Coturnix japonica: one gene and its partner. The main gene of each other region encodes a partner of the protein of the gene in region 2 in a complex. Links are inferred from orthologs where the notes say so. Each region holds a gene or a part of one and is shown on either strand. Other genes may lie near its edges. The genes, in order: MIEF2 and DNM1L.

The links.
Region 1: the proteins of DNM1L (region 2) and MIEF2 are in contact, whole or in part, in a cryo-EM structure (PDB 5WP9), measured with the Homo sapiens proteins. The link is inferred for Coturnix japonica from reciprocal best matches to the Homo sapiens genes DNM1L and MIEF2. Residues at the interface, in NP_036192.2 of Homo sapiens: Asp190, Met191, Ala192, Thr193, Ser194, Leu197, Lys198, Ile199, Arg201, Glu202, Gly223, Thr224, Asp225, Asp228, Arg233, Val234; in NP_631901.2 of Homo sapiens: Val213, Asp214, Thr215, Val216, Arg218, Arg226, Leu230, Arg235, Val245, Gly246, Tyr248.

The regions. Positions count from the first base shown.
Region 1 is NC_029529.1:5,102,925-5,105,337, reverse strand, and holds the end of MIEF2 (mitochondrial dynamics protein MID49), read right to left. Parts: coding exon 1,745-2,413; 3' UTR 511-1,744; downstream 1-510. UniProt on the Homo sapiens protein: Mitochondrial outer membrane protein involved in the regulation of mitochondrial organization.
Region 2 is NC_029516.1:53,516,673-53,520,981, reverse strand, and holds the start of DNM1L (dynamin-1-like protein), read right to left. Parts: upstream 2,941-4,309; 5' UTR 2,781-2,940; coding exon 2,679-2,780; intron 1-2,678. UniProt on the Homo sapiens protein: Functions in mitochondrial and peroxisomal division.

The DNA of each region.
Region 1 (2,413 bases), on a different chromosome or scaffold from region 2:
AGTACAGTCAGGAGAACCTACATTGCATTTCTCTGTACCCCTCTCTCCCACTATTAACAGCTGTAACCTAAAAATACAAACCTACTGTCTAAAATAACAGGATTAGACGGCTTCGTAATGCAATCAGCCAGCTGGCTAAAGCATGGCTAGAGCTGGGCAGCCTCCAAATGGCAACAGCAGCAGAAACAGTCTGCATAGCACACAGGTTTAGCATTGCTGATGGCATTTGCCATTACCAGCTCTACTGGTTTAACCCCGGTTAGCGTTCAGGCAGCAGAGCAGTTAGGGCTGCTGGCTAAACAGCAAAGAGCTCAGCATCCAGGCAGCACTGGGTGCTTTATGTGGTGGTCTGCAAGAGGAAGAGAAAAGCCGTGCACCATGGGGTCCAAGTGCTGCCACGCTCTGCATAGGGTGTACCACAGCTGCACTGCTTCCAGGAATGCTGCCACAGCAGGAGCTCAGCTTCAGCCCTTACTACGGGACAGGAGACAAAACATATGAGATGAGAGAACCAGTGTACACAGCAAGGATTTATTCTTGTCACTAACACTTGGGAAGTTGCTCGAAGGAACAAACCAAGTCGTCTTCAGACTAAGAGGAAAGGCATAGTGATTTTTTTATCCTCCCGTAAACAAGATGGTTGTAAAGAAAACTAAACCACAACAGATGCTCACACTAAAGCCCACAGGATTTCACCATCTCTACCAGTGTGCAAAAACAGCATCACTCTTCCCATTAAATACAAGAATGTATTCCTTCACACTTGGATTACAATCAGAAACAAAACCTACCAGCAGCCACTCAAAGGCAAAAAAAGCCAAAACGACAAAAAGATACTCAAACAAAATAGATCTTAATGAAAAGAAGTACAAACCACCTCTTGACTTCTTGCAAGTACTCTGCTCTGTGCATCAATCCAGTCCTTTCCTGCCCCACACCATGAGGCTTCGGGGCAACAGGACATTAAAACAGCAGCAACACATACGTGAAAAGGTCACTTGACAGGCTGGGAGGGGACACCATGGCCTGTTAGATGGGCACTGGTGTCCACCAGGAGGCTGCAGCTCCTGTAGCTGTCAGCCCATGCTGCAGCACAGCAGCTCAGAGAATGTCCATGGAGAACCCTCCTTGGGGGCAGAGCTGATGCTGGCAGAGCAGCCGGCAGCGCTGAGCTCGGGCTGTCATTTGGTACCTGAAATGATTTCCAAAGAGTAACCCTGCCATGGCATTACCTTGCAGCATCCATTGTTCCCTGGCATGGAACAATGTTCCCACCTCACCCCATGGCACTGCATGACTGAGCTCGGTGCTCACAGAAGGACCCACACAGCACATCATAAGCCATGAAGTTTGTAGCAGCATCAAGGGACGTGCGTGCTACAAGGGGCAGGGGAAGCTCTGAACTGCTCAGGTCTCTGTTTGGAGCACAGGGGGAGCCTAGAGGTTGGGATGGCAGGCTGGGAAGGAGCAGTTTGCTGAGATCCAGCAGCCAAACTTGTTCCATGTTGGTTCCCAGCAGATGGGACTTTGCTTTAGGGCTGCATTCCCTGTGGGTAAGGCAGAGCCCCACAGCAAATGGCTTCTTACACCATCACCCATTACTCTCAGGCACGTTTTATTCAGAAAGGAAATACTTTTGTTCATAAAGTGCAAGAACTTGGCCTCCTGCCGACTAGTCAACTAGAAGCATCACAGCCCAGACAGCTGAGGAACACCCCACGCTCAGTAGCTCCCGCTGCACCAGTCACTTCTCTGTCAGCAGGAGTCCTGGCTCAGACACAGCCCTATAGAGCAGGAAGCCCATCTCCTCTATTTCCTCTTCCAGCAGGTCACAGAAAAGGTTGACTTTGGGGTTGAAGTAGCAAGGCAGGACCCCATTCTCCAGGTAACCCACCAGCTCCTCGAGCACTTGCTGGAACCTGGTGGCCAGGCTTTCCTCTGCCCAGTCTGACTCAGTGGTGCTCAGGTGAAGGATGACGTGTGCCAAGGGGCTGCCGCTCAGCTTGTGCAGGGCAGGATGGATCCTGCAGACCCCATTCAGGATACGGAGGCAGTGCTGCCGAGCACCAGCATCACCAGCATCCAGCTCCTTCACCTTCAAGACCTCCGCCCTGCCAAAGCTCTCGAGCCAGAGGTTTTCCACCAGTCCTTCAGGAGGAGCGGCCAGAAGAACTTTGTCCTCCATTTCCACCACTGGGAAGAGGCCGATGCTCAGCTCAACCTGATCGTGTTTGACATCCAGCCTCAGCTCCCGGGAGGCCACGAGCGGGCGGATGACCGTCCCCAGCAGGCTGCCGATGGCCGGCCAGTTGATGGAGGCCACCAACATCTTGTGTAGGGTCTCGTTGAGCACATTGGAGGAGAGGTACTGGCCCACGAGAAACCTGTCCCAGGGGCTGCGCCCACGAGGGAA
Region 2 (4,309 bases):
GGTGCCCTGCAAGTCCTATCATCGGCAGTTTTCTTAGCAGATTCCATACCAGGGTACAGAGATGACTTTTACAGTCAACTATGGGGGAAAGCTTGGAGTCACACAGCACTTAACCAAAAATATCTTAAGGGACAACGCTGTTAAAAGGCAGGTTTCAAAAACACATGGAAGCCAATTCTCAGCAGCAAAACCGTCAGCCCTAAGGACATATGTGAGACATCTCCAGAAACCTGGGCTGCCATAAACTACATTGAAAGGACTAAACGAATACAATCTTAAGTATGAAATAACTGCAGAAAATAACTACAGAGTCACTGCGTCCATGAAGACAATTATATTTTTCAGGAGCTGAGACTTAAACAAAAGAACAAAATTTGGCTACAGTTTCCCATCCAATTTGCTACATATTTTCCTGAGGTAAATAAAGGCATTCAAGCTGGTCTCCTAAAAGATACAGTACCACTATACCTTACTCACAGGTCTTAACACCAAAGGGGTATTAATACAGAAGGGCAGACTACTCATTTCCACTGTCTTCTTTCCTGGCCTGACTACGGAAGTTTGAAGCTTCAGCTTAGTCAGTGTTGTTATGAGTCAGAATTCATGGTTTGTCCAGGTCTCAGGAAATCCAGGATTACCCTTTTCCCATCCCAAAAGACAACGTGCATCACTTTAACCACTGAGGGCTGCGCCCTGTTAAATTCCCATTGAAGAAGTTTGTATCACCACTCCATGGACAGCCATTGGAACTTCGGTTCCTAGTGTTGACACCGTGTCCTGTCACTGATAATGATTCAATACAGGAAACAGTCATCTCATATTGGTTCAGCAGGACCTGATAAACCTGCATATGATGTTCGTTCTGATCCTGTGTGAGAACTCATGGGACCCACCCAGCACTAAATTTGTGATATTCCAACATTGCCACCATCATTTCCAATGCAATGAAATTGATATTTAGGTCTGCACACAATTCTCTGCTTGTAATCTGCTGATCTGTGTGGATGAGCGGACTGAGACGGTCTTCATTTCATGATGTGACAGCTGTGCATGGATGTGTGGAACATGGCTTGCCCTTCACATCGCTGTCACCGCAGCTGAAATGCACCACCCACTGCCTCACTGCACTCACATCCAATGTTTGGGCTCCATAAAGGTTCAACAAGCATCAAAGAATGACAACGAGTGCCATTTTTTCTGCGGAGGAATTCAGTTCCCCACATTTGTTTCATATGCGCTTCCATATCAGACACCACTTAGTCAGCCTGCCCCTCTGCTGCCATCTGTTACACCGCAACATAATGTAATGAACAGAATATTGACGGGAAGGTTCAACCTCTACTGCCAAAGCACCTACATCCACCTCTGACACTGTAGGCCAATACAATAAACTAGGAGGCATGACTTCCAAAGTAGCCTCTGTATGCGAAAATAGTCCTATGTACTCCATGTACTTTTAAGTTAACTAAGTTAACTAAGATAAGGTCGTTACAAAAGACTTCAGCACATTGGAATGAAGCTGAAAGGCATATTTCCATGAATTTCAAGTATAAAAACATCACACCTCTGCTTTACACCCTTCTGATAGAGAAATAAAAAAACAGCATTGACAACAACAAAATCAGTTTATATTGTTAATATAATGAGATTGGAAGTTTCTACACAGCAAAGGGCTCCTGCGATCAGCAGAAACCAAGGACCTGATATAACTGACCAGTACAAAGTCTCCTCCTCAGCGCCGGTGTTGTGGATCTCTTTTATAAGGCAGCTGACACAGAGTCTCTGAACCAGCTGACTGATGGTGGTTAAGCAAAGGAAGAGCTGCCTACCCTACAACCACACCACAACTGGCTTTGAGGAAAGCCATGCCATGCTTCAGCTATAAGCTTGCAGTCGGTGCCTTCAAAGCCATGTAACGATACCCAGCTGCAGAGCATCTAGCACAATTCTCTTGATGTCAGCCTACTATTGTCAAGTAACGGCATATATTCAATAAATAAAAAGAAAGAAGGTGATGTACTAAAGCCAAGTTTTGGTTGTGTTTAATGTTTCATTTTCACTTCTCCTATGACCGCCACCGTTCTGGACTGGAAGTTATGCTGAGGAACAGCGTCCCGTTTGGACGCTGGGTCCTCCAGAAGGGTTTGGAGTCCCGTTTGGATACACCAGAAGGATCTGAAGTCCCGTTTGGATATATCAGAAGGGTCTGGAGCCCCGTTTGGATACATCAGAAGGGTCTGGAGCTGCTCGTTCAGCCCCTCAGCGTTACCAGGCTGGGACACACTGTAACGCCAAGACAGGCCGCTTTGGCTGCCAACAAAGAGGTCCTAAAGGCGGCACAACAGCTCAGCGACCCCTCAGCACAGCCGACACCCGCAGGTGCCGTCCCTCTGCTCTCCATCCCTTCAGCTCAGCGGCCCGTAGGCCGGGGGGTTGCCCCGGGGAGCGCCGCGGCCGTTAGAACCGGCGGGGGAAGGAGGGCGGTGGCACGGGCACTCCCAGCGCCAACGGGGGGGGCCGCGGGCACAGCTAAGGGCGTCCCGGCCGCCCTCGTCCCCCCGTGCCCTTGGAAACGGAGACCGCGGCTCAGCGGCCCCAGAGGAGCAGGGGACGAGCCGACATTAACCCGGGGCGGTGCGGCCCGGTCGTACCCGCCGCCTCGTCCCGCCCCGCCTCACCTGCGTGCCCACCACCACGATCTGCGGCAGCTGGATGATGTCGGCCCCCACCGTGTTGAAGACATCTTGCAGCTTGTTGATCACCGGGATCAGAGCCTCCATGGCGGCGGAGGCGGACACAGCCCGGAGGGGCTGAGGGAACAGAGAAAGCCGGGGAAGACGTCGGCGATGAATGGGCGCGACGGGCAGCGGCTCCCGTCAGCCGCCCCCTCCGCCTGCCGCCATTGGAGCCGGCCCCCGCGCACGGCGCGGCCCCCAGCGGGCAGTGCGGGCTGAGCGCCGCGGGGATCCACGGGACATGTAGTGAGGAATGGGGCCGGCCGCACTGGGCCCAAGGCCTGTGGAGATCGTCCATTCGCTTAGGTGTGCTGAAACCAATTGCTCTCAGAGCTATTAGGATCATTAACACAGAATCACAGAATGACCCGGGTTGGAAGGGACTTTCAAGGATTCATGTAGGTTCCCAATTCCCCCCTGGCCTGGCTAGGGCGCCACCAAACATGACACATTTTACTAGATTCAGGTTTGCAGGGCCCGTCCAACCCCTGGTCTTGAACACCTTCCAAGGACGGGGCATTCCACAAACCTCCCTGGGCACCTTGTTTCCAGGCCTTAAACCGACTCTTCCTAGTGAAGAGACTTCCCGTCCTAACATCAATCCTAATCTTCCCTCTTTTTAACTTTAAAACCATTTCCCTGTGTTCCTTGCTATTAGTCAGCCCTTTCGAAGAGTTTACTCCCCTCCTGGGAGTAAGTTCCCTTAGGTATTGAAAGGCTGCAATGAGGTCACCCCGCAACCTTTCTAGGCCTGAACAACCCAACTCAACTCATACAACACAGTGTATTGCATATAAATACATAAGGATGTGGAAATTAAACCTAGATCTGGATGTTTCTAAGCTACTAGTGGTTGGAAACAGGGTGACTGTCGTGCACAAGCGCTCAGTGCTTGACCTTTAGTCCATCCCAATATGGCTATTCTTAGAATTTAATCAGTGTAATATATTTCATTAAGAACACAGTGAAAATATCATTTGCCAAAATGTGTAGAGATAACTCAGCTTTCCCAGCAGAACTGTCAAAAAATACCATCAAGGACACTATACCCACATGGAGAAACACAACTTAAATGGATGAAATGAATTAATGAACAGAAGAGAAACAAGAAGAGCGGACTAAATAAGACTAAATAAGATTAGGAAACCCAAGGAAGAAAATCTTACCACATTGTCTATTTCTGGCTAAAAAGTGGGTTCTGGAAATACCTTTGCTATAAAATGTTGTGTCTATTACCAACTTACCAAAGCCAGCATTTACCTCAATCCAGAGCAACTGCACCAAAGCAATCATCATTTTGGCAAGCAGTGACCATCCTGAGCTTTAATTATCTAATTTCCTTAATAGGCTTATGTTGTACAGGGCAAGAAACTCAAAGATCTGATAAGAGACAGACTGGTTTTTACTAAAGGTTAATTAACATAAGAAAACAGGAACTGCCGCACTGAATCTGACCTGATATAAATCTACCTCAGGATGTCATTTCTGAGTACGTTAAGCACCAGGATTCCTGGGGAAATTATAAAAGTATGGTAATAAGATCTTCTGATCACAGTCCTGTGTATTAAATCTGA